Lepisosteus oculatus: one gene and its partners. The protein of the gene in region 1 purifies or fractionates together with the protein of each later gene. This does not show direct contact. Links are inferred from orthologs where the notes say so. Each region holds a gene or a part of one and is shown in the gene's direction. Other genes may lie near its edges.

The links.
Region 2: the proteins of cops5 (region 1) and ddb2 purify together in Homo sapiens (affinity purification with mass spectrometry; 10 studies listed by BioGRID and IntAct, counting the BioPlex papers as one, with this or other methods). This does not show direct contact. The link is inferred for Lepisosteus oculatus from reciprocal best matches to the Homo sapiens genes COPS5 and DDB2.
Region 3: the proteins of cops5 (region 1) and asb6 purify together in Homo sapiens (affinity purification with mass spectrometry; 3 studies listed by BioGRID and IntAct, with this or other methods). This does not show direct contact. The link is inferred for Lepisosteus oculatus from reciprocal best matches to the Homo sapiens genes COPS5 and ASB6.
Region 4: the proteins of cops5 (region 1) and fbxo22 purify together in Homo sapiens (affinity purification with mass spectrometry; 3 studies listed by BioGRID and IntAct, with this or other methods). This does not show direct contact. The link is inferred for Lepisosteus oculatus from reciprocal best matches to the Homo sapiens genes COPS5 and FBXO22.

What each region holds. Positions count from the first base shown.
Region 1 is NC_090701.1:51,534,470-51,542,349, reverse strand, and holds the start of cops5 (COP9 signalosome complex subunit 5), read left to right. Parts: upstream 1-4,866; 5' UTR 4,867-5,097; coding exon 5,098-5,234; intron 5,235-6,451; coding exon 6,452-6,686; intron 6,687-7,880. UniProt on the Homo sapiens protein: Probable protease subunit of the COP9 signalosome complex (CSN), a complex involved in various cellular and developmental processes.
Region 2 is NC_090716.1:4,973,898-4,981,435, reverse strand, and holds the start of ddb2 (DNA damage-binding protein 2), read left to right. Parts: upstream 1-4,523; 5' UTR 4,524-5,117; coding exon 5,118-5,334; intron 5,335-5,977; coding exon 5,978-6,105; intron 6,106-6,457; coding exon 6,458-6,649; intron 6,650-6,797; coding exon of another isoform or gene 6,798-6,943; intron 6,944-7,538.
Region 3 is NC_090719.1:2,800,598-2,807,737, reverse strand, and holds the start of asb6 (ankyrin repeat and SOCS box protein 6), read left to right. Parts: upstream 1-4,136; 5' UTR 4,137-4,233; intron 4,234-7,140. Other genes in the region: ndor1 (NADPH-dependent diflavin oxidoreductase 1), read left to right, coding at 56-163, 781-1,297, 1,407-1,525, 2,436-2,530, 3,218-3,362. UniProt on the Homo sapiens protein: Probable substrate-recognition component of a SCF-like ECS (Elongin-Cullin-SOCS-box protein) E3 ubiquitin-protein ligase complex which mediates the ubiquitination and subsequent proteasomal degradation of target proteins.
Region 4 is NC_090700.1:57,540,006-57,548,013, reverse strand, and holds the start of fbxo22 (F-box only protein 22), read left to right. Parts: upstream 1-4,996; 5' UTR 4,997-5,076; coding exon 5,077-5,207; intron 5,208-6,109; coding exon 6,110-6,242; intron 6,243-6,478; coding exon 6,479-6,566; intron 6,567-8,008. Other genes in the region: lactb (serine beta-lactamase-like protein LACTB, mitochondrial), read left to right, coding at 13-367, 887-1,052, 2,396-2,918. UniProt on the Homo sapiens protein: Substrate-recognition component of the SCF (SKP1-CUL1-F-box protein)-type E3 ubiquitin ligase complex that is implicated in the control of various cellular processes such as cell cycle control, transcriptional regulation, DNA damage repair, and apoptosis.

The sequences.
Region 1 (7,880 bases):
TCCTACATGAGAAACACAAAATATCAACACAGCTATCCACTTAGTCAAGGTACTAAGCTGTACTCTGCATGTTCCAAGGGGCAGGAGCGTAAAGCAGCAGGTGGGGTTCTGGACATGTAACTGGAAGGCCGCAGGTTCACATCTTGGGTGACGCACTGCTGCTGTGCCCTTAAGAAAAATACCACAATCCGATTGTTTCAGTAAAATGCCCTGGTACAAATGAGTATTGCCTTGTCAAATAAATTATTGATTTTATTAGATATTCTCTTTTGCCACATAACAGCTGTCTTGTGAATGCACATGCCATTGTCTGTACAGCACAGTATCTTTTGCAGTGTTCACCTATCTTTAATATGTAGAACACAATTAAGACATCTTCTCTCTCAATGCAAAGTTATTTTAAACAAAAACATTACTTTCCCTTGACTGGAAATATTGATGTGAGATTTTATAAAGAATTATTGAAATACAGCCCAAAAAGATGTTTTGCCTTTCCGGAATAAAATTAGTGATTACTGAACAAAGATCCTTATTCACATCTTGGCTAAAATGAAAAGGTGCTCGATATGCACTGTTGGAGACACATCACTGATGCCACATACAGTAATACAAAGAGTAAAGAAATGATACCCTAGAACGCCAGGGTGCCTGACACAAAATGCAGCAACATATTCTACTTTGGATATTTTAAATGTATTCAGGAAACATGTAAACTTTTGTGCCCTTGCTCTCCACAAACAAAATATGTAGATCTTCTACAACCCTAGAATTCGAATTGATGACTAACCTGCTCACCATGACCACCAAAGTAAACAATGAAATGCCAGCGTGGCCTTTAGATGTACTGTATACTGCACTGTACTGGGCTTGGCACTCATTCGTGTTCATGCGTACAATGCACTGTTACATATTTTAACATGCAGCAACACAGACACATGCACTTTGTTAAAGCAGCACTGGACAAAATTATCTTAGACACTACTAAGATTCTCAGCTTCTGCTTCTGGAAGATGGGACTTACTGCAGAACAAAGCACTTTTCTCTGATTACACTTTGGCTCTATGACTACTATAAGTATTAATCTAATTAAAGAAAACAGATGAGTCACTCAATATGCAATGTAGATGTATCTAGAAATCAGGCTTTTTAAAGACATGGGAGAAAACACAGTATTGTAAGAACATTTCTATTAAGTTACCTTTTTTTTAAAGAAAAAAGTACTGCTTTTCCACGTATTCACTTCCAAGTAAGCTGAACACTGGGAGAGTTATAACCCAGATAAGCGTCTTCTTCAAAGGCATTCAAAACTGCTTTACCAGCAAAGTCAAAATGCCAGAAGCCAATTTAATCAGCCTGGATCGTTAAGTTCACAGGTTAGTTCTTTATTCCTTTTGCACTTCCTCACATAATTCCCCCCTTCCAAAAGTACTCCTGCTCCTCCTGATATCTGTGAAGGTATCTATAAGGAATCATGTGCAATGTCAAAAACACAAATGGAGGGGGAAAGAAATCACTGAAGAGCACTACTCACACTTACTGTCAAAGCGCTCAGCAGTCTTTACTCTCAAGGTTAAAAGACCTGAACTCGGAAGACGTTTTGGCTAAATGAACCCTTCCCCAAAATACAGAACATAAAGGTCATTATACATACGGTACAGACAGCTGGGGGTAGAACCTGTTGTTTCAAGATGTAATCGACTTTTGGGAAAACAACCTCCAAAGAAAGCAATAAAAAACGTAACTGGCTGTTTTTCTAGGTAGTAGAAGTGCCAGTTACATTAACTGCCCCTTCTGATAAGAATGCTTGACCTGCCTTAATACATTTGGGACATCAGTTACTTAACACTTTTTTGGAATGAAAACAGCCCACCTTCACCATTACGCACAACACGTAAACCTTAAATGCGACACTGGGAATCTCAAAGTCACCTTTATAAAACCATTCCTTCCAACAGACCACATAGCAAAGCAGTAAGACCCAGCACAGCTCCTGTAGAACAAAAACACAAATCATGCAGCTCTGCTAACAAGCGTGAACAGATGTGGATATACCGGGACACCCCTGTCGGTTTCTAAGTTTGTGTGAAATTGGCCTGAATACTTGCCGTACTATTTTGTGAAACGGCGTAAATATTTAAATTTTAAGTCGCTCAATTTGTTTTAATACTAACGTAAATTAAGTCTTCAGAAAAAAAAGCTTAAAAAAGCAGGGGCATCACTGTCTTCAGATTATTTCCAATGAAATAAAATTTAAAAAATAACGTAGAAATCAGTGCCACTGCCTCTTTAATACCCGTTGTTAGGCAACCACTGTACACAACGTCTTAGGCCACTTCGCGGCGCCGAGCACAACCGCTAATATTAACTGCAGCTTATCGACAAATAGTTGACAAACATCCCCGTCAGGAAACTTATCATTTAAAACGTAGACTTCTCACTTTAGCAATAAATATATGCGGTTCCGGGGAGGATCATTCGAGATAAGTAGGGCGCTCCAGACACAACAACCCCCTTCAGCAAAGTATTAAACACGACAGTTCAACGTTACTGACTCGAACACAAACTGCATGTTTTTGAAAAGGTCCCGTACCGTACGACAAGTTCAACGTATCCTCAGCGGAACAGCGCGCATCCTCCCCTGGGAGAAAAAAAACACAACACACGAAGGTGTCCACGTCCTGAGTGGTTTTACGGCCGCCGGGTTTCAACGAATAACACAGCGGATCCGCCGCCCAGCAGCAACAAGCCCGCAGGGCAACTTGTCAGCAGCAGCAGCAGGGAACTGCCGCCCGGTGCTGCAGGGAAGAAGAGCGAGGGGCGGGAGAACCTCAAACACCAGAGCACAGGGAATTACACAGCACCCCCTAGTGGACTGGAGGGACACTTATACACTGCTGTCCCATAAGGGATCCTGGTGACCCTGTTCTTTGATCCTGGTGATCTTTGATCCCCTGTGTTTGGGGTTATTTGTGGATCAAATTCACGTCTGATTTCTTTCAAGTCTAGATCTCTTTTTTGTTTTTCAAACGGATTCTTCCAGCCTTTATCAATAAAAAATGACATCTGCTTTATTAAAGCAATTCTCCGTCACTGTATGTTTAAAGCAGGTCCAGAGCCACTGACTTCTATTTACGTTGTATGTTATTTACGTGGGTACGTCGGTATGTCAGTTGTACTGTATGTTGTTGTCGCTGCTGCTGCTGTTCTGTGTTGGTGTTTCCTTAATGTCCTGGTATCGGAGCAGACGTGCAAATAAGCATTTCATTGCACTTGTGGATATGACAAATAAACTGACAAATAAACTGAACTGAACTGTTCCAAAGAGCGGGGGCTCATACCATTTAAATTTCACTCTGCTCTCCGAGAGGAGGCCGTTGGTCCATTCTAGCTTGCTTGCTGTGGATGACGTGGATCCTCTCAATCCTCTGGGATAGAATTAATAATAATTGCTTGCACTTCTGTAGCACGTTTCTGCACACTCCACTCAAAGCACTTTACAGGTAATGGGGACTCCCCTCCACCACCACCAGTGTGCAGCCCCACCTGGATGATGGGATGGCAGCCACAGTGCACCGGTACACTCCCCAGACACCAGCTCTCAGTGGGGAGGAGAGCAGAGTAATGAAGCCAGTTTAGAGGCGGGGATCGTTAGGAGGCCATGATTGATAAAGGCCAATGGGAAATTTGGCCAGGACACTGGGGAAACACCCCTGCTCTTTTCGTGAAAAACGCTGGGATTTTGAATGAACACAAAGAATCAGGACCTCTGTTTACATCTCATCCGAAGGACAGCGCCTTTTTTACAGTATAGTGTCCCCGTCACTATACTGGGGCTTTAGGACCCACATAGACTGCAGGGTGAGCGACCCCTGCTGGCCCCACTAACACCTCTTTGGCGCCCTGGCCAAAATTTCCCATTGGCTCTTATCAATCATGGCCTCCTAATAATCCCCAAATATGAATTGGCTTCATCACTCTGTTCTCCTCCCCACTGAGAGCTTGTGTGTGGTGAGCGTGGTGGTGGAGGGGAGTCCCCATTACCTGTAAAGCGCTTTGAGTGGAGTATCCAAAAAACGCTATATAAGTGTAAGCAATTATTAATTATAATTATTATTATTACCTCTTCCAGAAGCAACCTTAGTTTTTCCCAGGAGTCTCCCATCCAGGTACTGACCAGGCTTGTTTTAACACACATTATTGTATTGGAAACGTTAGCCCAGTTTGTCTGTTTTATCTTATCATCTTTGCAATCTCACTCTCAAGCAATGTAAAAAAAAAACTCATCTCCTGAAACACAGTTGTACCGTCTTCTTTGTTGATGATGTTCGTTTTTGTTGGATTGTTATGTTAGACTCTGCCACCAGGGAGTAATGAACGAAACTAATATGAATTTAAAATATATTCATGTATTACATCCCTCCATCCACTTGCTAACTGCTTCTTCCAATTCAGGATCGCAGATGATCCAGATCCTGTGTCAGCAAGCTACAGGGACAAGACAGAGTATACCTCGGGCCAGTCCATCACAGGGAAGACACAGACAGAAACACCCCATCAGTTGGCCTGACAGCATGTTTCTGGACTGGGAGGAAATCCTTATTTATTCCTTTTCTGGAAACTAAATGTGCAGCTGCAGACAGCCGCCAGCAGGGGGCTCTATCACCTCAAGGGCTCGCTCGCGTCCCACCGAAGCCGTCTGGACCGAACCATTGAAGTCACGGGTTTCTTTTTTTGTTGTTGTAATATTCTTTAGAATGCGTTGCACATAGAGATTTTTCGATAACTTAAAGACTGAGAAAATTCTTAGTTTTGTATTTGTATTTTTTACACATAGTGATTGTGGTTGTCGGCATCCATTTTCGGGTTCTTGTCATTTTCAGACCACCCCAGGGTGGGCTCGGTGGTAGTTGTCCGTGTCATGGCTGTGTTGTTAGGTAGCGCCGGCGATCGTTAGCGAAGTTTAGCTACAACATCGCAAGAAAAATTACATTTCCGTTGTTCTCAAGGGTGTTTTGTAGGGGGGTTATCTTCTTCCGAAGGGCGAGGCAGGTTTAATTGATCTAACGCACAGAGATAGAGAGCGTTTCAGCTGGGAAGATGGCCGGGGGCGGTATGGCGCAGAAGACATGGGAGCTCTCCAACAGTATGCAGGAAGTTCAGAGCATTGATGAAATTTATAAATACGACAAGAAACAACAGCAAGAGATCCTAGCTGCGAAACCGTGGACAAAAGAGTGAGTTTCTTTTTAAAAAATGCATACAAACCTCTGTTCGCGATGCGTTTTGTAACGTAACTGTTAGGTGGCCCGTTTCAGTGCTTTCACTGTTGTTTTCTTTTGATTCATTTTCTTACCGCTTTTTCTTAGTAAAAAAAAAAAGGAGACAAAAGATTATTTAATGCGTGTTTATTAAATGATTTGCTAGCCAAAACTCGTACACTTGCAGAAATTCGCAAATTTCATAACGCAGTATGGTTTGGTCAAAGGTCTCTCCGCTTGCGGTTTTCTGGATGAGGATCTCTTGATTATTTCTTGATCGTGCTTTTAAAAAAGCTGACAGTTTAAAATAAAAAGAAAAGTTTCATAATGTTTCCTTTTCAATTTCCCTGGAACATAATACGATGGGTTGCATTCGTTAGGCTCTGATTATCCTCACAATCGATTTTGTAGAGAGAGGTCGGGCTTCTCCAGTGCCGAGTACCAGAGCACTGCCGGCAGTGCCCAGTGATACGTATTGAGCTGAATGAATTGAACTGGCTCGGCAGCCATATCACCCTGCAGCTGGCTACCCAGTAAAGCTCAGCAGGGTTGAGTTTGGTCAGTACCTGGATAGGAGACGACCTGGGAAGTTATGGTTGCTGCTGGAAGTGGTGTTAGTGGGACCAGCGATCTGTGTGGGGTCCTGATGCCACGGTATACTGGAGAAACACTATACTGTAGTGGGCGCCATCTTTCGGATGTGACGTTAAACCGAGGTCTTGACTCTCAGTGGTCATTAAAAATCCCAGGGCGTTTCTCAAAAAGAGTAGGTGTCCTGGTCAAATTTCCCATTGGCCTTTACCAATCATGACCTAAGAATAATCTATGAATTGGCTTCATCTCTCTGTTCTCCTCCCCACTGAGAGCTGGTGTGTGGGGAGAGTACTGGTGCACTATGGCTGCCGTCGCATCATCCAGGTGGGGCTGCACACTGGTGGTGGTGGAGGGGAGTCCCCATTACTGTAAAGCGCTTTGAGTGGAGTGTCCAGAAAAGCACTATATAAGTGTAAGAAATTATTATTATTGTCTTTGTCCCTCCCAGCCTAAAAGCAGCACCTCATCTGGTGTTGACTTCTAGAGATTGATGCCTCAGAGACCAGGGGCAGTGTCTGATTATTAGCACTGAAATAATCCGACGGGGGGGACAGGTGGCTCACCGCAGTTCTCTCCGTTTGGCCGTGCGTGTTTTGCAGCCACCACTACTTCAAGTACTGCAAGATCTCGGCCCTGGCCCTGCTGAAGATGGTCATGCACGCCAGGTCCGGCGGCAACCTGGAGGTGATGGGCCTGATGCTGGGCAAGGTGGACGGGGAGACCATGATGATCATGGACAGCTTCGCCCTGCCTGTGGAGGGCACGGAGACCCGGGTGAACGCCCAGGCTGCCGCCTACGAGTACATGGCGGCGTACATCGAGAACGCCAAGCAGGTCAGCGGGGCGCTCCGGCCTTCTCCGACGTCGGAGACACGGGCGCTCGGCCGCGTTTCTGGCTTGTTTTTTTTTCCGGTGGCGTGGTTTAAGAAAATCTCGCACCTCAGTCTCCCTCTCGGCTTGCCGAGGTCCTGCGGTGGTCCGTGCTCCGGCATTCCACGCCAGGGTCCTCCCCGCCTGAGAGAGGAGGCCGTTCTGCCCATCCAGCCTGGTTTGGTAGTTCATTGATCCACGGATCTCATCGTTTGATGAAAGACGCTTCAATAACATGCAGGATTCAACAGACTATGGAACAGCTTCTACCTCCAGGCAATAAGACTGCTAAATAGCCAACCTGCAGCTCCTTTAGCATATCACCCGTAATGGCTACATGGACATACAGTTCTCATTGTATTCATCATACTGCACTACTTGGACATAATACATTGCATACACCATGGACACATAGCAGCTCTATTCATATTGAGTTTTCTCTGAGTTTATTTTATTCAATTTCTATTGTGAGCTCGTAGAAAAGACATTTCATTGCCAGCAACTACTGCTGCACGCTGTGTTGTTGTGCATTTGATAAATAAACTTTGATTGGATTTTGATTTGAGGGTTTAGCTGTTCCATATTCCCACAACCCCCTGCACACGGAGGTGCCTCCTGTTTTTGTTTTCAACTTTACATCGATTTAATTTCCGCCCTCGTCCTCTGGTTCGTGTCTCACTGTCCAAGAATAGTAAGGTTCAGGAGGGTTGCAGTACTATGGAACACGCTCATCTCATTTGAGACGTTTCTTATGTTCAGATAAAACTTGACACTTCAAAGCAAAGCGTATTGAATTAATTGAAGCTGTTCTGGCAGCCCACGAGGCCCAACACACTGTGAAGACAGTTTATATAGGTGTTTCCTTTATTTTAGCTCTTATGTGTATTGTGATCCAGTCTTGTACAATAATTGTGGTTTGTGCCTTCTTTCAGAATATAAGTTTCAGGGTTTTTTTTTCGTTGATGCGGACTAAAAAGACATAAAAATGCAATGGACAGTGTGTCCAGGTGGGGGAACACTTTGATTTGTTTTTTTTTTTGTTGTTGTTGTCGTGGACAGCTGACCTTTATGAGTCCAAGGGAAACTACAGTCATTCACAATGACATGTAAAACATCAACACCTTTTAATATTTTTAAGGTGTTTCTTTTAAGGCCTTT
Region 2 (7,538 bases), on another chromosome or scaffold:
TGCCACACCCCAACTAGCACTTGCAGGCATAATGATAGTTAATAAGTAAAAGTACAAATTAACACAGAGACACATTCATTTTTCAAGCTCGTATTATTAAGAAAACCTGTATTCCATGTCCAGAAGGTAAATAAAAGTACACAAAACAAGAATCTTTCACCCTAGGTGGTAACAGCTGTCCCATTTCCATTCTACAGTTAACAAAAAACCTTGCAGTAAAATCAGTTTGTAGTTTGTCCATACAAAAACTATTATATAGAATGTGCCATGCTTTCATGCTCAGTGAAACAAAGAAAATCATTTATAAACTTCCAACTGAAATTTGATAGTGTGCCCTTTAGATACTGCTACATTTCCAGTAGAGATCTCATTTTCAGAATAGCATGACCCGGAAGAAAATGGCTTAACTACACTGTTTTTCAGCGTTTAAAGCCACACCCCTCTACTCAAGACACCAATTCGTCCTCCAATTCTCACAAGCATAACAGGGATTAATTTCTGTTTGTAGTACACAACACTTTGTAACTCATGCCATTACTATAAAAAAGAACTCAGTTACTGGTAATTTTTTTACTAGCATTTTCCTAGAATTATGCACTTGGTAAACATGGAGTACCTCTTGTGCTAAGGAATGCAAAACCAAACACTTTAACCCTCTCCTGATCATTCTAAATAAGGAAGCATTTAAAATTTTGTTTACTTAAAGCAAGATAAACTTCTAAATAAAAAACAGATTATCTGAATAGGGGACAGAAGGTTTTTGGCTGCCTCCTGTTGAGTGAAAAGGTATTGTTCAGTAAGGTGGAAGAATAAATGGTATCATAAAGTAATCTTAAGCTAATTTTTAAAAAAAGCACAAATACATTTTTTGCCGTTTATCAGCATTTGAGAAATGCATGTAGTTCTAATGCATTTTGCGGCTCAACTATAGATTAACCTTAAGCCCTCTGGACTAGTCATTGTGGGCTGCAAAGTGATTATTTTTAGGGTTAATGCTAAAGAATTCACAGATGTGTCGCACTTCTGCGTTTGTTTCTAAACGCAAACTCAGTTACTAATGGAACCAGCTGTTTCCATTCCTGATTTTTTCAGGTCTTTCTCTCAGCCTTAACGTTTTGTTATAAATCAGTTCCTATTAACTGGGGAGGAAATGAAGTCTACTCGGACACCAAGCCCCTAAGAGCTAACTGGGGACTGTGAGGCCGGTAACGTTATTCCACCCAAAGTGGTCGAGGGCGCAGCTCCAAAAACCCGCAGGGGGCTGCATTCACGGCTGAGTGCAGTTTACTTGCGACGCAAAAGTGGTGTATTAGTACTCAAGTTCTTGTTTTTAACCTCAGCATCCGTGTAGGTTGTACAATACAATTACACGTATTGAAGGCACATCTTACATCCGACACTTTTGTAAATCATGCATTCCAAATAAAATGTCTGTTCTTCTTCTAGTTTTTAATACAGGTTCCATGCGTAAAAACACACACGGTAAACCGTCAGACTAAAATAATTGTATCCTTCTTTAATAACCTGATCCATTCACCAAGGGAAACAACAGCACTGACTCGGGGACCCCTATATATTTCACAACTGAATTAACCTACAAGCTCAGAAGGAGGTCACCTGTTTCGATGGGTACAACATAAGATTGTGTCATATTAAGAGAAAGCTGTCCCACTGAGAAAAAACGAAAGAGTATATTTCAATGGAAAGCCTTGCATTGTACTTAAAATGCGACTCAACTGGAAAGGGCTACTACTACCAACCCTACGCAGGGGAATCGTTTAAGCAATTACATTGTATACGCCGTCAAACATTTGTTGCATTTCGTTCGCTTATAAATTAACTGCGAAGTAACAAAAACAACACCGTTAAATTTACAAATATTCCTTTAAATCGACTTTAACAACGGGCAGATTCTGATACTTAAAGGCAAACAAAAAGCACTCGCAAAGACGGCGGAGAAAGAAACTAATACTGACACGAACAACGTTGTTTAAAATACCTAGAAACGACACCAGTACCAACCAAACCCTTTTATCTTTGCAGCGAGGGCAGAGTGGTCCGGTTTTCAACAGTTTACGCGGAACCCACCGGTCTCGTCTTCCTCTCCGGAGCCCAGGTTGGATTTCAATGAAAAGGGATACACCGGAGGAAAGCGCGGTGCACGCTGTGCTCCCAAGCGAGGTCACTAGACTACAGTTCAGCACCCCACGCAAACAAATCCACTATTTCCATACTGACTGCGAGCAAAAGAAAAAAATAAAACACATCTATGGGACCGTTAGAGAACACTTCGCATTCAGTAGTTTCGTGCAAATATTCGTCACTTGATGACAAGCTGAAAAGAAGTAATGAGTGACGACTTCACAAATCAACGGTCCTATTGCATCTGGACTATAATTGAGCCCTATGAAACTGTACTCCACAGACATCTATTGACGCTATTGGAATGTAAATGGTTTTTAAACCTTCCACAGGCGTGCAACGCCGTACTTTATTTTATATATATATATACGAAGGTGGGAGATCCGGCTCAAATAATAATAAAAAAAAAACGTTTTACACTTCACATGGAGCATTTGAGCAACATCTCATTGTGACATTTCTCTCTGATTCTTACCTGTTGCGACTTCAGTTTATTTCCAGAGAATGCCTATTTTGTTGCAAAACACAGATAAACGGAAAATCCGCACTTCGCGTTTAAAAAGTCCTCAGTGCATTTATGAGAGTAAACGGTAACACCCCTCCGACTTTAACCAGACCTGCGGGTTTTTCCCCCCCTCAGTTACAAGCTCCTATTACCGTAGTTGATGCGCGGTTACAGCAGGACTGCAGACAAACACTTCGCCGCCATAGAGCAGAAAAGAAGAGGAATTTTCTTTGGGAATTACTCGACCGGCAAGGCCAATTTCGAGGCACAATGACAACGAGAAGTTCAAAAACCGAGCAGAAATGAAGAAAATATCGAACATATAATTGTTTGGGTATTTTTCCTCAGGCAGGTTAAAAGACAACTTGTCTTCTCTTCTCTTCTGGAAGGGTCTTCTGGGGTGTAATTGGATCCTGTGGTTCCGCTCTACGCATTAATCCAATTACTGGATTTAACCCTATAGGTGCCGATGCTAATTGTGAAGAGGATAATGCCACTGTTTTATCGATTCAGAATTTTGAATGATTAGGCATCGTTTTGTATATTGCATCACAAGAGCTTCTTATTTTCTGAATATAGTCCAGCTGGAAAAGGTGTTCCGCGGGAACATCCCGGAGACGTACTCAATTTAATGCCACGGAGGATTTTCCGCTCAGGTTCAATATTAAGCAGTCTCTGTACTTTAGAACTTAATTTTCTAAAATAAATGACATCATTAAGAAAAACAGCACTGCAGAGTGTCAGTAATTTACAACGCCTAAAAGTCAAACTGTGAATGGTCAGCAAAGATGGGAATTAAAGAAATGTTACACACTGCAGGAGACCCTTTGACCCAGCTGGTTTGGTAGTTAGTAGGTAATTAATCTGAGAGTCTCATTCTTCTGTTTCAGAGAGAGAAGCATACTTTTCAAGGTAGCTGAAGGGGAATAGCTCATCTTTCTGTTCCTGAATGAGTTTTAAGTGCATTTTCCTGCTGACATAGATAATACCTTACTTTCAGTCCTCTTCGGTGTGCTCATAAATCAGTGGTTCCCTATCCTGGTGCTGATGACCAACACACCTGTTTGTTTTTGTTCCAGCTGAGCCCTCAGTGACACAATTGAACCCTGTAATAGAACTGCTTCTGACTGCTTATTGTCTTAATTAAAAAAAAACATAGAAAATGCATAAGGATGAAAGTACCAAAAATGGCATCTACTTCCAAGGTCAAGATAGAAGCTATCAGACTGGACTATTTATAGATGAGGAGTGGAATGATTTATGACAAAATAATTGATTTGGTGATCTGTCTCTTTCAGGTGTTTATCAAACACCCTTACACAAATAGCCCTCAATCATTTTTGGATTTATTCTACAATATTACCAGTGTGAGTTCAAACTTTTAAGGCTTTAAGGCTACCTACAAAAAACAGTGGACTGGACTTTCCTAGAGTTTCAGTTTCCAGGCACCCAGGATTCATATTTCTGTATTGTCTTTTGGAATGATCTTAACGGCCCGGTTGTCTTTAAGTCTACGTGGTTCTAATTTGAATCAATCTGCTCCACAAATATTGCATACAACCTTGATCATATATATCAGCACCATCATGTGTGAACTTCAGCTACCTGAGTCTTCAGTCTACGCTTTGATTGTCTAATGTCCCTGAATATCGATGATAATTCCGATCAATCTGATCTTCCCTAACACACCTGAAAACTGGTGATATGTGATATATTTTTAAACGTAGTACTCACAATAACCTTGATTTGTCTTAAAACCTTTACGAAATTGGCCAAAATGTGCATAATGATTAGTAGACAATTGTCGGAAAGTTGTCTTCCGCTGAAAGAAAAAAAGGGGGACGGAAAAGTGGATGTATTAGTACTGCCACCTGCTGGATTAACAAAGAGAAAATGTTACAAAACAACCCGGTCGTGACGTCATTAAAAACAAAATCGATCGTGTCTGCGTCCATGTGTTAGGCAAATGAGCGCTTAGTATCGATCACCCTCTAAAAAATCACCATAAAGAACCTCATTCAAGCGTCTTTTACAAAGGATTAGGTGACGTATGACTGCACGGGCTTTGTTTTAAGATGGGAATTTTGCTGTTCGTAATTTTATTTAATGATGGTGTTACGAAACTATAGGAGGGGAAGTAGAACCCAAATTGCTTGTTAAAAATAGAAGTGCATGTGTTTTTTTTAAACATCGAAAAGCTTGCAGTGCTTTTGAATTGTTATTGTTGTCTAAGAATGCTTTGAGAGGCTAAATGCATACATTTCTTCTGCATTCCTGCACTTTTTGTAAGAGCAACTAGTCCCTTATGTTAAAGCTGGATATCTCCCGTATTCTCACGTTATTGCAAAGTTATGTTCTTCAGTCAGATACCAGGAAAATGCTAAGCGTTTAGTTAAACGAGGTCTAGTAGTATTTTGTAGGAATACATTACACAGAGCACTGACTTGAGTGTGAACTTATTTAACCCTTCATGCACAGAAATAGTTTTCCTGTTCCTTTTTATCCGACACACCAGGTGAACAGCACAAGGAAAGCGATGGCCAAAAAGAAAGTTCTCCTGGACAGCACGGTGCCCAAACGCCAAAAGGAAAGGCCATCCACCTCTCGGAGCAAACGAGCAGAGCCTTCGGAAGAACCCCTCTCAAGAAAGCTGAAGAAGAAAAAGGAAGGCGTTCCGGGGAAAGCAGGTGTGTGACTGGAGCTCATGGCTTTGTCTCAAGTTGAATTTCCCCAAGCAGGGACGGTTCAGCAATAAGGCATGCCTGCCCAGCTCCCCAACAAGTAGTGGGCGGAATGAGACTGCGGCGCCAGCGGTTCCCCTCTGAGTTGCTGCTCCATCTGCTGGTGCTTGTGCTCAAGCAATCAGTACCAGAAGACAAGGGAATGTTACTTAAAAAACGATGTGCATGGTTGTTACAAAGCGACCTTTTCCACTGCTCCTTACTGTCGTTTCCTCTGACTTTATGGAATTAGCCAGAGGATATTCCTGTACATGCGGTCTCTTCGATTTATTTACACTTTAAATGACTTTGGTTTTAGAAATGTAAGAATTACCATAAACAGCCAGTGGGATTTGACTAATGTCATGTACTGAAAAAAGTAAAATCCTGGCTAATTCTTTACAAAGTTCGAATAACTCAAACTTGTAGTGGTATGAGAGTATTGCTTTGATTTTGCTTTTCGATTGTTTTTTTTTAACTTCTAAATTTCAGTGGGACATTTAAAAAAGACAGGTTTCCCCAGGTTTAACCCCGATAATGGTTATGTTTAGTGGTAGGTTTGGCGAAAATGATGGTTTTTGTAATCATTCTGGTCTTGTTCTTATTTCAGAAGCAAGATCTGAACTCCAGAATAACAGAGAGAGTGTGGGGTTTCAGAAGGCGGCCAGGCAGAACAGTATTGTCCATTATGTGTATAAACACTCACTGGGTCAGAACATCCAGTCACAGATGCGCCAGGTTTGAATTTCTTTTTAGAGCTGCCGTCTAAAGAACGTTTTTTTTCCCCTTTTTGTCAGAAAGATAAAATGATTTTGTAAGGTATAGCAGAATAATGGTAACTCTCTTAGTGATTTTATCAAGCCATGACCGCTCCCTGTTACACAAACATTTGACATATAGTCAGTCACATACGGAGCGAAAAAGAAAAAAAAAAGTGTGCTGTTTCTGTCTCCGGACATCGGAGTTGTATCTTAAGAACACACATTTGAAGCGTGCTTGTGAGAAATAACTGCACTGCCTGTGCCATCCCTCTGTAAATCTGGCCTCTTTTCTTGTCTGGAAGACCGATGTGGCTCTCCTGTCTCTCCAGTGCCTACAACAGCCATTCCTGCGCTTTCTGAACTCCTACAGTCTCTTCCATGCAGCCAGCCCATTCGATCGCAGGGTGACGTGCCTGGAGTGGCACCCAACGTGCCCCAGCACCCTGGCAGTAGGCTCCAAGGGGGGGGACATAGTGTTGTTGGACTACGAAATGTCAAAGAATACCAAGTTCATCCAAGGGGTGAGTGGTTTCTCTCCAGGCCTGGCAGGTATATACAGTATGCTGTGGTTTTGTCTGGGTGTGAATTCCATTCCAAGAATGTAGTTAGCACACCGTGATCAGTGTCCTGAGATATTTTCCTTTTGTGTTTTTTTTTATATTTGTTTAGATGGGAGCTGGGGGCTCCATAACAGACATGAAGTTTAACCCTTTCAATCCCAGTCAGCTGTTTACATCGTCTGTCGGAGGCACGACCTCTCTGCAGGATTTTACAGGCAACACTATTAAAGTTTTTGCCAGCACTCATCAGTGGGAGTAAGAAAGTTTTGATGCAGTTTTTTAACTTATTGTTGACTTTTAAAAATGCCGAAGGGCAAAACTAGACACTTGTACAGTGAATCTTAGTATAGTTTAATGGTGTGTCATGACTTACTATATATTTAATTATTGCCTCAGATCCTTTAAGTCTGCTGTAAGATTTTGTTTTTCAATGGAGGTAGATGCTTCTGAAAATACACTAACACTCTGGGAAGCAGCTACGTAATACTCCAGCTTCTCCAGCTGTTTTGGTAAATCTTTGCTATTTTATGGAATTCTATGGTCATTTTTTCATAGCTGAAGCAGAAATAAAAAATAAATCAAGCATCAGCAAGTCCTGTCTGGCCATGGTAAAGCAGAAATATTCTTAGTATTCATGTCAATTGTGAGCACTGCAGATCTTTAGCTATATTCAGATTTCTGACCAATTTCCTTATTCTTTCCAAAGCAGTGAACTGAAATACACAGTCCAGCTGAGCTGGTCTTTTGTTTTCCTGTGTGGCATTTACATTGAACCTAAGTAATGCCATGATGAACCAGTTTTTAGAAGCGCTACTGAACTTGAAAATCCATGTTTTTTTAATGGCAGAAA
Region 3 (7,140 bases), on another chromosome or scaffold:
GGTCCTCCGGTCCTCAAGAGGGCGCTGTTCTCTCGTCCCCCCCCCCCCCCTGCAGGTCTTGGCCGATTTCCCCCACACCACAGCAGTTCTCACCGTGGACTACCTGCTGGACCTTTTCCCCGAAATCAAGCCCCGCTCCTTCTCCATCGCCTCCTCCCTGCTGGTAAGGCTCTGCGCCGCCCATCCCATTCGCCTGCAGTTCCAAAAAATACCTCCCTGCTTTTTATAAAGTCATTTCTGTGCTCATTTGAGATGAGAGAGAGATCACTTTATCAGCCCTACAGAAGTTTTTGCATTAGGAATTTGTCTTTTCGCAGACCCCAGCTTGCTCTCCATGAGACACACAGACAGGGAGAGAAGCTGGGGGTCAGAGCGCAGGGTCAGCCATCGTACAGCGCCCCTGGAGCAGTTGGGGTGAAGGACCTTGCTCAGGGGCCCAAAAGAGTAGGATTCCTCTGCCGGCTGCGGGATTTGAACCGGCAACCTCCCAGCAACAAGGGCAGATCCTGAGCCACAGAGCCACTGCTCCGCTGCTCAAGTGGTGGTCGGCCGCAGGCTCAAATTTAATGAAATGTCAGTTAAGTAATGACGCGACATTGAGGTCGGTGAAGCGCCGGTTGAATGCAGAGCCATATCAAACCTGGCCAAAGAGGATAGAGGGTTGGTGGATGTTGATGAGTTGATGCTATTGAAACCTCTCAAGGGATCAAGGTCAAGACAGGGCACACGGGAGGCGGGGCAGATCTTCCCGGCACTCCTGGCTCTCCTGTTCTCCCGCAGGCTCACCCTGACCGGATCCAGGTGCTGGTGGCGGTGGTGCAGTACAGGACCAAGCTCCACAAGCCACGCAGGGGCCTCTGTTCGTCCTGGCTGGCCTACCTGGACCCCACACAGAGTAAAGTGAAGCGTGAAGCCTTGCGACGCGACGCGGTGCAGATCTGTCGCGTGACCGCCGAGCAGCGTGTCGTGGACTGGGGATGTGCTAGAATCCTGACAGTTTTAGAAGAAAACCCGGGCTGGTGTTGCATTTCTGACGGAGAACGCAGTCCAGCCGCAGATTGTCTGTCTGTGGGATTCTGGGATTTCCCAGCATTCCCTTCCTGTGGCCTCGTGTCGCTCTTATCTGACTGCGGAATGTCCCATCTTGCAGGGGAGGTGCGCGTCCCCCTGTGGGTGAAGAAAGGAGGCCTGAGGTTCCCCAGTGACGCCGACACCCCTGTGATAATGGTAGGGCCCGGCACCGGGGTGGCCCCCTTCCGAGCCGCCCTGCAGGAGAGGACGGCCCTGGACAGGACAGGTCGGTCCTGCCTCCCCTGCGGCTCTCCTCCCTTCTCCCTGTAGCTTTCCGTTCTGGATTCGTTCCGGAATTCCCACTGTATCTCCTCATTTTTCTTCCCCCCCCTCAGGGAACGTTCTGTTTTTTGGCTGTCGCTCGGAGTCCCGGGATTTCTACTGCCGCTCCGAGTGGGAGGAGATGCAGAAGGCCGGGCGTCTGACGCTCTTCACGGCTTTCTCTCGGGACCAGGTAGGCCGTTTACACGGCTCTTTCCCATACAGAGCAGATCGTCTACCAGAGCAGCCCCACCTGTGCAGCAGGTCAGGGGGAGAAGAGAGAAACGTCTCCAGTGGTTGAGTTCAGAGGGGATTTTAGAGTAGGCAGGTTGTTTAAGCCCCGAGTAGAATTGAGTTAGGACATTGGTGTACACCACTACTATTCTGACTCTCCAGTGACTGATTGTCCAGGACCTGGTGTAACTTCTTACCCAGAGGGGTGGCACCACCTCCTACAGCGCTGTGTCCGCAGTGACCATACTGGGGCGCCGGTTTAGAAATTCTGGCCCAGAGAGAAGAGCACCACCTGCTGGTCCACCAACACCACCTGCTTCTCAGTGATCTCAAATTCCAGTGCTGACCTGACCACACCAGGCTACTAGATCAGTGTTACCAATGTCTTCCTCCTTCCCCCCACACTCACACTCTCCAGAGTGCTTTGTTGCTTCAGTCTTGCGGTAGACTGTACCTGCCTCTCATGATCAGTCTGTACAGTACTGAGTGGTGCCGTCCAGTAAGCTACTGACAACCAATGAGCAGGATATACTGAAGCTCTTTCTCTAGTTAGTAACTGTTCTTATGTTTTCATGATGAAGTCCTAGAATGGCAGAGTGCAGAGGACAATGCAGAACAATACTGTAAGCAGTACTTGAGTATAGTGCGGTATATTACAGTGCAATAAAACAAGGTAACAGTGCAGTGTATTACAGGCTGAAAAGCAGAGAACAGCAAAGTGCGTTAGTGTCAGGTTCACTATAACGCAGCCTAGTGCCGTAGAGAGCATGGCCTTGCAGTGTAGTCTGGTGTGACGCCGCTCTGGAGGGGCCTGCCCTCAGTGCAGTGAGGGGCGGGGCAGCAGGGCTCACCTCTGGCTGTGCCTGCAGGAGGAGAAGGTGTACGTGCAGCATCTCGTGCGCCAGCAGGCCGGGCTCCTCTGGGACCTCATCGCCAACCGGGCCGCCCACGTCTACATCGCCGGGTGAGTCCGCCACGAACAATCCTGAAATATTCTGAGACGGCCATGTATACTTTCACTATGCTTGACCGCATTGTTCAGAATACAATTTACAGCCATTTCAAATGACATCAGGAAAATATATTACATTCCCTAAGATCTGATTTGGGGTGCGTTACAAACACACAAAAAAGAACATGAACAGAAATAAAATGCCACTCAGAACACTGACCTGCAAGGCTCTGAATAATCTGGTGTTTCCCAGCTCTCTCTCACCCTCCCTTCCATACGCTGTGTTGTTTGCACGCCGTGCCCAGCAGTAAATACCCCCGGTGTTGGGGCGCCCTCCCTGCGTCTCTTCGAGAGGCAGGTTCTTGGACTGTTTTCTTAAATCTGAACCTAAAACTCCGCTTTTTTGCGGGGGGGCTTTGTCTGCTTGTCTTACAGTGTGTCCTGCAAGGTCTGGTTTTATTTTTTTATTGTATTTTTAAAAATGCTGATCCTTACATATAGCATCCTTGGGGTTTGGAAAGGTGCCCTATATAAATTATAAATTTCTTCTTCTTATTATTATTAAAGAGCTCAGTGCAACGATGGCATGCCTTTAATACCTCAGCAGAGATCTAGCGCCGTCCTGTACAGCTCCTAAATCGCTCATCGCCAGCTCTGGCGGTCTCTCCTCTGTGTGTCCCCGGTCTCCTCCGGCCTCAGCAATGCCAAACAGATGCCGGCGGCTGTAGCCGATGCCCTGAAAGCCGTGTTCCAGGCGGAGGGGGGTCTCTCGGACCCGGACGCCGAGGCGCTGCTGTGTCAGCTGGAGAGGTCGGGCCGCTTTCAGACCGAGACCTGGTCGTGACCCGGTGCCGGGCGGAGGGTCACGCGTCGTGGGCGGTGAGCAGCAGCAGGGCGGCCCGCCGGGTGGCGCAGTGCTGGAGGTGCTTCCGTCTGAAGGGGTTCCCCTGCTCAGAGACTGGGGGCTGCATTGAAGAAGCACCCCCTATTCCAGCAGCCGTCGCCTGCTGTGCCACAGAACAGCCGCCGGCCGCGAAGGAAACACGTGTGAGGTCTAAACGCACGACTGCAAGGATCCCTGTAACTGAGTGCGATTACAGTGCACATACAGCATACGTGTGATCATATTAATGTAACTTTTATTAAATGATTTTTTTTATTTGTCTACTTATGAATTGCTTTTAAGGCTCTGGGGAGCACAGACCAATCATATGTTGTCTCAATGTGCTTTACTGGTGTTCTGGATTGATGTCTGTACACTGAATTTAAATAAACTGTTTAACTGTGCAATTCACTGGCATCTGGTTCACGTTGTTTGATGCATACCGTGCGAGCAATCGCTGGTGTTTATTGGTTAACGAAAGCCGTTTTGCAACAGGCTCATTTTGTAGCAGGTAATCGTGACACCTGCAATCGAGTTAAACATCTAAAGAGAGAATTTTGTAAGATAATAGCGCAGAAATCGCGCACACGCCTCTTCCGAGACAGGTATATCTACGTTTCAAATCACACGTAATTTTATAATAGGCGAGTCTGCAGGGCGGACAAACTTGATAGCGGCACAAAAATACTTCCGGGACTCTATCCAATAGGCAGCCGAGTTTTAGATTCAATTAACTGAGACGTCCTCTGATTGGTCCGTCGGCAAACACGGACAGCTGCAGTGTTCGCATGCCTCCGCCAGTCCGCTAGTGGCGTTTTCGGGTCCTGTGTTGGTGAGTTTGTGCACGTTTTGTAAATAAATTCGTAGTAAATATCCATAATATGAGTATAACTGTTGAATACCCAAGCTGGTGAATACTTGCTGGAATAATAAGTTAATAAAATATGAATGTGCAGCTAGCGGGCTCGCTTCAGTACCTGCGGTCCCCTCTGGTAATCCTCGCCTGTGTATTTTTGAAACCCCTTCACCTCTAAAACAGGTTTCAGTTGCCATATTTAAGAGTTAACGCTCGGCTGCAATGATGCGTTTAATTAGACTGTTTGTGTGTGTGTCTGGTTTATAAAAGCGAAGACAGGCGGCGGTTTGAATTCGGCGTGTTTGCGGCCGGTGCTCGTTCTCCGCTGTTGTCCGTGCGGGTCCGAGAGATTCGTGAGGAATGACGGCGTGGGGTTATCAACAGTAGTTAATTTCAGTGTTTTTAAAAAGAGACCATTACGCACAGGTAGACCCGGGCCTGTTACTGTTTTAGCACATTGTCCGGAAGGTATGGCTTCATTCACGCAATCCGGAGTTACACTGTATTATTATTATTATTATTATTATTATTATTATTATTATTTTTATTATTATTGAGAGACAGGCTCACTGTTCCCCAGGCTGGGACAGGAGGTCACACACTGTATTATTATTATTGAGAGACAGGCTCACTGTCTGTTCCTCAGGCTGGGACAGGAGATCACACACTGTATTATTATTATTGAGAGACAGGCTCACTGTCTGTTCCTCAGGCTTGGACAGGAGGTCACACACTGTATTATTATTATTGAGAGACAGGCTCACTGTCTGTTCCTCAGGCTTGGACAGGAGGTCACACACTGTATTATTATTATTGAGAGACAGGCTCACTGTCTGTACCTCAGGCTGGGACAGGAGATCACACACTGTATTATTATTATTGAGAAACAGGCTCACTGTTCCCCAGGCTGGGACAGGCGATCACATACTGGGCTGCCAGTTCAACTGAGTTCCCTCCCCCTTCTCCCAGCAGGATTGGGAGTTGTTGTGATTCTGGTAGGTGTGGAAATTCTGGCGTTAGATTTGTACATTTGGGGAAGAATGTCTAATCCCAGAATATTTGTCTCGCAGTGCAGTAGGAAGTGCACCTCTGTCTCTATTTCTCCCCGCTGGCAGTGGGAGCACAGCCTGTCCTCTCTGGACAGCCAGGTCAGCCTGTGTCCAGTTTCTATGGCCAGGCTGTGGTCACTGAGCCTGTCCTCTCTGGACAGCCAGGTCAGCCTGTATCCAGTTTCTATGGCCAGGCTGTGGTCACTGAGCCTGTCCTCTCTGGACAGCCAGGTCTGCCTGTGTCCAGTTTCTATGGCCAGGCTGTGGTCACTGAGCCTGTACTTCGTCAGGGTCTGTTTCTTTTTGCTGTTTCTTATCTTGGTCAAATATTCGGCTAGTGTGTATTGTCCGTTTAGGGTTCTGTAGAATTCCAGTTTATGTTGTGTTTGTGTGTGTGTGACCCAGTGTGTTAGATATTGCTGTTTGATCTGTGCTGTGATGTGCTTGAGTCTGAGCTGTGGTGCTCTAGCAGTGCTGTCCTGAGGTTGGCTGCTGTCGGTGTGGCTCAGGTCAGTGAGCCTCAGGACCAGCTGGCTCTGGGGGCTCTGTTTTGGGCTCAGCAGAGTCTTGTTGTGGTAGGAGTTTGGGTCGCATGTGCAGAGTTTCTATGGAGTGTTTTTGCCATTGAGTGTAATCCTGGTCTGAGATTGGGCCACACACTTCACTGCTGTACAGGGCAATGGGATGGATTACACTACCAAATATTTGGAACCAGATTCTTGTTGGTTGATGTTCAAAAGCTTCCTTTTTATTGCGTAGAAAGCCCCGAGTGCCTTCTCCTTCAGTGCTTTCACTGACGGATCAAAATTCCCAGATGAGCTGATAGTCAGGCCGGTACAGTATGTGTAGCTGGATGTGTGCTTCACTGTGTGCATGCTGTTCAGTGTGAACTGGCACCTGTTTCCCTGAGATCTGGCTTTCTTCTGGAAAACCATGACTCTGCTCTTGTCCAGATTGACCGGCAGCGCCCAGGTCTGACAGTCCTGCTCCAGCAGTGCCAGGCTCTGCTGTTCTAGGTCCAGATGGGCTGGCAGTGCCCAGGTCTGACAGTCCTGCTCCAGCAGTGCCAGGCTCTGCTGTTCTGGGTCCAGATGGGCTGGCAGTGCCCAGGTCTGACAGTCCTGCTCCAGCAGTGCCAGGCTCTGCTGAACTGGGTTCAGATGGGCTGGCAGCGCCCAGGTCTGACAGTCCTGCTCCAGCAGTGCCAGGCTCTGCTGTTCTGGGTCCAGATGGGCTGGCAGTGCCCAGGTCTGACAGTCCTGCTCCAGCAGTGCCAGGCTCTGCTGTTCTGGGTCCAGATGGGCTGGCAGCACCCACGTCTGACAGTCCTGCTCCAGCAGTGCCAGGCTCTGCTGGTCTGGGTCCAGATGGGTTGGCAGTGCCCAGGTCTGACAGTCCTGCTCCAGCAGTGCCAGGCTCTGTTGTTTTGGATCCAGATGGGCTGGCAGCACCCAGGTCTGACAGTCCTGCTCCAGCAGTGCCAGGCTCTGCTGGTCTGGTTCCAGATGGTCTGACAGTGCTGCTCCAGCAGTGCCAGGCTCTACTGGTCTGGGTCCAGATGGGCTGGCAGTGCCCAGGTCTGACAGTCCTTCTCCAGCAGTGCCAGGCTCTGCTGAACTGGGTACAGATGGGCTGGCAGTGTGCAGATCTGACAGTCCTGCTCCAGCAGTGCCAGGCTCTGCTGTTCTGGGTCCAGATGGACTGGCAGCGCGCAGGTCTGACAGTCCTCCAGCAGTGCCAGGCTCTGCTGTAGCCCCTGTTCTTCGGGCGACACCAGGACCAGGTCATCTACATAGAGCAGGAACTTGATCTCTGTGTGATGTAGTGTGAGACC
Region 4 (8,008 bases), on another chromosome or scaffold:
TTACATTTCGAGGTTGCGATAACAACACGGATGCTACTGTCGCACCTGAGTGGGATCCGTCACTACGAGAAGGACGCAAAGAAAGTGAAGGAGGAAAAAGAGAAGGCGAACCGAGCATTAAAACAGCAGAGGGCGGCTGCAGCAGAAGATAAGGCCTTGGGGAGTCAGGAAGTTCATCCCAAAGACAGGAAGAACGGTGGCAGAGAGCCATCCAGCAGGGGCAACGACAGCACCAAGAGCACCAAGGACGCCAAGCAGGCCGCCAAAAAGGAGTTTGAGCAGGAAGAGTACTACCTGAAGGAGAAGTTTGACAGTGTCATCCAGGCCCTGGACCTGTTTAAAAATGACCCCCTGATTTTCAAGCCAGGTGACAGATGACGACTGTTCTATAAAATTGGGAAGGGTTGCTGGGTGAGACAGATAAACCATATCAAGTATCTTTAGGAAATGTGGCCGTTTTCACTATAAAATTCTCTTCCTTCTGATTCACACATGCTAATTCTGCCCAAGAAATGACATGTGTCTATGTGGTTATCTAGATATGTTTTTTTTTTCTTTTTTGGAACTGCTTATTGGTCTCTCTATCTTCTAAGAGAGGCACAGGGAGAAAGGCAGGTTATTTAAGTGTCTCAAAAAAGACCATGTATGGAATATTTCATTTAGGATATCCTTTCAAGAAAAGCTTTTTTTTTAGAGAACAGCGCTCCTTGAGTCCAAAGGCTTCAAGTGGCAATTGTGCATATGCATTTTTCTTCAGCATTTCCTAAAATTACATTTTGCAACTTTAAGGGTCCTCATTTTCCTTCGCACAGTTTTCTGCAGCTGCAGTTATCAAAAATGGTAGTTACCGTGTGGGGCTGAAGCAGCGCGCTGTCTGTGTCTGCAGGCAGCTCTTTCCTGTACTCCACACACGCCTTCACTCTGCTCAGCGCGGTGGTGGAGAGGGCAGCAGGACGGCCCTTCCTGGATCACATGATGAAGATGTTCCGGGAGCTGGGCATGCTGAACACCGTGCCGGAGGAGAACGACCGCATTATATACAACCGATCGAGGTAACGGAGAGACCTGCAAAGTCAAATTTCAAAGCCTGCTGTTTAAAAAAAAAAAGTCTAAATTCTTGTGGTTTATTTTGCATGGTAAGGTTTGCTTTTTGTTGAAAATATTGCACTAATGCTGAGCACTAAGCATTCAGTGCCACACATGGTATTACATCTTTCAATTACAGCTTCAATTTCTCATTCCATTCATTTCTCACTCTAAGGTTTCCGATCACACCTGGTTTGATTTCACTACTTTGGCTTCTTATCCATAAGTTCATTTCTTTTAAAAATTAAAACTCCCAAAACCCGAACCACTGTCTATGACCAAAGGATTGTCTTCATTGAGATTCTGTCACGTTAGCGTTGATCATTTCAGTTTCCAGTCACTGGTATCTAGATGACTGAACTCTTTTAGCTGTTCTGCATCTAAACTCTAAAAGCTGTGACCCCAGGGAAACACATATGGTTAATTTGCAACTTATTTGAGATCATTTATATTTTTGTTTTTTAATATTTGCAGTCTCTTTGGGCTGACTCAGATGATCTGTTTTTGTTTATTACTTCACACTGTGTAGTGAATTGGGATGCCATCTGCATATGATTTGCATGGCACAAACTAAAATGTTGGACGTCAACAAACCCTAAAGATCTGCAATGCAAATAAAATTGCAACAGTGCTTTTTATAGTTTCACATTAAGGGAATATGTGCCTGTAAATTTTGGCAGCTGTTTACTATGCCATAATGTGGGAAAATGTCATGTTAATTGATTTCTGGGAAAACTGGCCCTGGTGTCAGTGTGTGCCCTGCGATGGACTGGCATCCTATCCAGGGTGGATCCTGTCTAGTGCCTGTTGCTCACCAGGATAGGCTCGGGCTCCCCTGCGACCATGGATTGGAAAAAGCAGTTCGAAAATCGATGGATACAAGAGTGGTGGTTAGCATAACAGCTGCAGGGTACTACAAGTTGATCCAATTCTGGTTCTCTGTGTCGGGTCCATGTACTGTCTGTTTTTCTGTTGACTTTTGCCAGGGTGCTCTGGTTTCCTCCCATCATCCAGAGACATGCAAGTTATGTTTACGTCTTATGAGTTTGTCCCCCTGAGAAAAGCAGAGGGGTTGTACTCGTTGTTAGTGACTCGGGAGCAGAGCAGCTCTGGTATGTCACTCTCCCCTGTGACTGGTCCTGTTTTTGGGACGGCTCTAAGCAAGCAGGAGAGAAAGCGTTGAAAGGCTGATTAAGGAAACCCATGTGGATGAGTATTAGATCTCATTAACTTCTCATTAAATGAGAACATTACTTGTCTTTAAGTGGGAATCTAACACCATCTGTGTTTTTTTTTCCCCTCTTTGCAGGTTTTATCATTTCAACAAAAAAGGCCGCATTGTGAACTGCCCTTATGTGGACAACTCCTACAAATGGGCAGGGGGAGGGTTCCTGTCCACTGTTGGTGACTTGCTGGTGTTTGGCAACGCCATGCTTTACAGCTACCAAATGGCGCATGTTAAGGATGGCAGAGGCCTCCTGCCGGGCTACCTCAAGCCCGAAACGGCCAAAGCCATGTGGACCCCTGTGGATGGAACTGAAGGATCCTGGGATAAGGATGGGCAGTATGCAATGGGCTGGCTGGTGGTGGAGGAGCAGCAGCAGTTTGGACAGTGCAGGAAAAGGCGGCACTATGTTTCACACACAGGGGGAGCTGTAGGGGCCAGTAGTGTGTTGTTAGTCCTGCCCTTCAACCTGGCCCAGAGCGAGGGACAGACATTGGCTCCTCCACAGGGCATCGTGGTGACTATTATCAGTAACATGCAGTCTGCCGGTCTCAACAGCACTGCCCTGAAGATCGCTCTGCAGTTCGAGAAAGCCAGGAATGCTTGAGAGAGCACAGGAGGCTGTCTTTGTGCAGCTGGTGCACCAATCATTTTGAAGTAAAAATGCTCGTATTTGAGGTCTTTTCTGTATTCGCAAGATTGGTATCTTTTGCAGTATTAAAGGAAGAAGAGGATTCAATTTTTAATGTCATTTTAAATACATCTAAAAACTGCTTTAACAGTGGAAAACACGTGGCTAAAAAAAAACATTTTATTGTTGAAAAGGCATTTTTTAAAACTTCAGCATACCTTTATGTTTAATCTGTCCGAGTCTGATCCATTAAAAAAGTTTTTTGTCCACTGACTGTTCATGTTTTACACATGCTGGGATCACAGAAGAGTCTGAATCGATGTACAGTACAGAAGAATTAGGATAGCGCCACGGTTACTGCTGCCAGCTCACAGCTCCAGGGCGGTGGATTCAATTCTAGATTGGGGTCCCTTTTTTGTGGGGTTTGCATTCTCCCTTTGTTCTCGTGGGTACTTGCTCGGTGCTCCAGTTTCCTCTCGCCTGCCAAAGACATGCTGGATAGGTCAATGGCATCTCTACATTGAACCCCCTGTGCTTGTGTGGATGCCCTTCAGCTGTCACCCTATAAAGAGTGTGTGTGTTTCTGGGACAGGCTCAGGGTGGATGTGACCCTCTCCAGGAATGCGTGGCTTTCTCTCAGTGAATAGGTGATCATTCCCATGTACAAAAACAGAGTAATGTCAGAATCTGCCTTTCCTACCTTGAATACTGACTCCCTCATTGAAAAATGTAAGCTTCTCACGACAGTTCTGTAGTAACTCCTGACATACACTAAGTTCCTAAGGAATAGAAACTATGGCCATGAAGTGTAGGACGATATTGTAGTTCCGCAAGTGCCTCTCCATGGTTATCTGCATGTGTTTTGAGTTGTGCACTGATTATAGACTTAGCCCAAAAATATTGCATTTAACTGAGCCCCAGAAATGTTAGTTTGCTGAGAGAAACATTTGACGCAGTTTCCTTGTCAGGAATGTGACCGTAGTATGAAATAATGATGAAATACCATGTTTTATGTGTAAAACTTTGACAGCTGGGGCATTCGTTTAGGAATTAAATTGACATACAATTGAAATGTATTAAAATTATTTTTAAGAAAAAGCCACATTTTTCTGGCACTCAACTTTACATTTCTAGTGTATGTTATGAGTGCCTGAGACTTAACAGATTTTCACATATTTGTCTTTTGATTGTTCTTGTACATTAATTCATCCAAGGAAATATGAATCTATGAACCATTTTACCTTCACTTATGACATCAATGTACATTTGTGTAACAAATCTACTTTGACAGCACTGCACAGAACAGAGAAAGTTGATCTAATCTTTAAAGATAACTTTTTGAATGAAATATATTTTAATTATTTTATTAGCACAACCCCAGCTCCCCATACATACTTACCAAGGCAATAATGCTGTCAGTGCACCTGCAGAGGTAAGGGAAATGCTGACTACGGTACTGTGGGTATTGCATGAGATTTAAGCTATCATTTGGTCTACATGAGAGACCTGTGGACTATAACCTCCTGTGAGGTGATCATGTGAGATTAAGATAATGAACTCCAATATAAATTACCTACATAAAGTTTGTAAATTTCAATGAAGGTATATTCGCTTTTGAATACTGATAATACCGTTGAGAAGGTTTTAACAGGGAGTAGGACTTCAGCAATATTTGTTTTGTACTCTAAAGTGATGACCACGGTTGTACACAGTAGTAAAATTACATCTCATTAGTGCACTGTACATTTATACGTGGTGGTCCTTGGTTTAAATGTAAAAATCTTTAATTTGAATTTGAATACGCAATTTCATTTTCGATCCAACGCTGTTTAGAACAAGTAAAATATTTAACATAATTATTTTTAATTTCCTTTGCAGCTTCTACAGTGTTTCCCGGTTTAATAATTTGAGAAATTGACCTGTCTACCACCTACAGTATATCTGGATCTAGATCCGTTAAAACTGCACTCCTGTTATCTTTGGGCACAGCTGTGGAGGAGATAAAATAATGTACCACTAGGCGGCAGTAAAGAAATAAAACGGAATAAAAATGGAATTGTTCACTTCCGATTGATGGTGAGTTCAGGGGTCAACATTGTTCCCTGGGGTTGTTTTAGACACTCGGAAGTGGAAGATGGATGCAAGTGGTGAATTTTCTATTTCAGCTCCAGAAAGTAAAGCTGGATATATACTTAGTAATGTGGCCGAGGTGGTGGAGAGGATTTTGACATTTGTACCGACCAAGTCACTTCTCCGTACCGCTTGGTAAGTTCAGATTCTCGTTTGCAGGACTTATTAACAGTCCCTGTAGACTTCCACTCAATGTTTTCTGCAGAACACGGAGCCTTGAGACAGCACATCGGCGATCTTGAGTTTTATTCATGAACCCGGCTATTTTTTTTAATCGAAAGATGTATGCATAAAGGAGATCAGAGAAAAGCTGCGTCTTGTGCTCTCTAAAGATGTAATGACTTAATTGTATTCAGAATCTCTTGTCTTGTTCATATCCTGTACTCGATCACGCTTGGGTTTTTGACTGCAGAGCCCTTTATATATGTAGTATGTTTGAGAGTTTCTTTGTATTTGTTTTTTTCGACATTTAAACGCAAAATACCAAGACGTCTTGCTTGTGAAAATGGGCATGTGATATATGTGATCTGGCACCGCAGGAAGTCTGCGGTTTCACTTACTTGCTGAAACATTGTAATCTGGTATTTTTGTATCTGCTTGGTACGCATTGATTAGCAGTACAGCGCATTGTCTTTACAAGCAAGCAAAAGGTTTGAAAAGACGTGATGTCTCATGCCTTTTAAGGAAAATCTGGTATTATAGATAAAAATTCCTGATGTACTCCAGCAATTGCATAATTCACCTTGAAAGTGAGCTGTTTTTACTCCCTTTCCTTGGTAACTGTAATCCTGAGGACAGTTGTCTCCTGTGATAGCTGTTTAACAGTAGAAAGCCGACCTATTTAGTGAGCATGATATTTTCACTACATCTTCCACCTTTGCTGCTTGAAAAGCACAAACAGGATTTCTCTTTAAATCCTTCAAAATCAAAAATGCTCTGGTAAACCAAATGCCTTTTGTTGTTGTTGCTGTGTTATAGAAGGACTTCTTTTGATATTTATTGTTTTGCCTTTGTGCTGCTGTCGGCTGTCCCGGTAGCGTCTGCAGACTCTGGAGGGACTGTGCCCGCAGGGTGCTGAGGACACAGCAGAAGATGACCTGGGTGTCCGGTACTGGCTCCTCCAGCTCGGATGGACATGTCTTGTTCAGGACTCTGGCAGAACAAGTAGAGGTAAGGGGACACTCCTCTGTGAGTGATCTCCCTGGCTAGCTCTGTTTTCGCAGTCACCTCCGTCCTGCACTCTTTTTTATGAACTATTTCATAAACTATTTCCCATATTAGATCACATTAACGTATAATGTCGAAGCAGGTGTTTGCAAGCAGTGTAGATTGGAAAGCAATTGCTTTGAGCTTTAAAGTCCTTTATCTGGGTTTCAGTAAAGGAATATAAATGTGCTGTTTTGCAGAATGTGTACTTGCTCCCCCGGACAGTCCTCCTGATGGCAGACAGCGACACCTTGAACAGACCTGATGGCACCTACAAGCAGAAGAAAGGTAACAGACTGGCTCATGAGGAGTCCTGCTCTGCAAGTATAATTTAAAAGTCTTGGTTTCCCGAAGGTGCTTTGATGTGAGGTTTATAATTTTTAATTAATAATTGCTTACACATCTATAGCACTTTTTTGGACACTCCACTTAAAGCGCTGTACAGGTAATGGGGATCCCCTCCACCCTCACCAGTGTGCAGCTCCACCTGGATGATGTGACAGCAGCCATAGTGCACCAGTACTCTCCCCACACACCAGCTCTCAGTGGGGAGGAGAGCAGAGTGATGAAGCCACTTCATAGATGGGGATTATTAGGAGGCCATGATTGGTGAGGGCCAATGGGAAGTTTTTTAATGACCACAGAGAGTCGGGACCTCGGTTTTACTTCTCATCTGAAGGACGGCGCCTTTTTACAGTATAGTGTCCCTGTCACTAACCTGGGGCATTAGGACCCACACAGACCTCAGGGTGAGCACACCCTACACTCCCCATTAACACCTCTTCCAGCAGCAACCTTGGTTTTTCCCAGGAGGTCTCCTATCCAGGTACTGCCCAGGCTCACACCTGCTGAGCTTCAGTGGGCTGCCAGTCGTGAGTTGAAGGATGACATGGCTGCTGGCTGTTTGGGGTTGTCATACTATTTGAAGTGTGCTTGGCTAATGAAGTCATAGAACAAAATCTAAAATGATTTTGATGCCATTGGACTCAAAGTACGTCTCAGCCAGCAGAAGTGCTCAGTTGGAGCGCAGGTTGAGCACTGTGTGCCAGGATGGCATCATGTTTAAACCTGGTGACATGACCCGTGGAGGCATGGAGGCACACAACTGCCAGAGCAGGGCAGTGCCTGGATCCTCACGATTCCCAGTGCCTCCGCAGCTCCTGTGACCAGCTCGAGCCTGGCAGGCCTGCAGTGAGTCAATAAAAGAGCCGGCCCTCCCGGTCCTCCTGCACCAGGCCAGAAGCATGCGCCCATCAGAGGAGTGTGTCTCCAGACAGGAGGTGCTCCCCATGTGGACACAGGGTTTATTGCAAGAGAACTGCGCCTTAAAACAGGTGCTGATTCAAAAATAGGTAGGCACACAACAACAACAAAAAAAGTCAATGCAAAATTGAATTAAAAAAAAAGGACATTTTAAATACCCTTGAGCGAAATGTAAATGTAAAACAGACAATGGAGAAGTCATGGTAGATTTCTTCTGCTGTTTCACCTTAGCTGTAGTGTTGTGTGGACACAGACGTAATGTTGCATGAATAGCAGAACTCAGATTCATTAGAATATCCCACTGTTTCTGCAGGTTTAATTTTGTGGGCATACATAAATTACTCCACTGGCCGAAACTCTTTGAAAATGTGTATAATACGAAACCTAGGAATTATGTCTAATATTTCTGGTAATTAATATTGAGCGAGTCTCATTTAACATAATTTTATGTTATCAGATGATGTCTC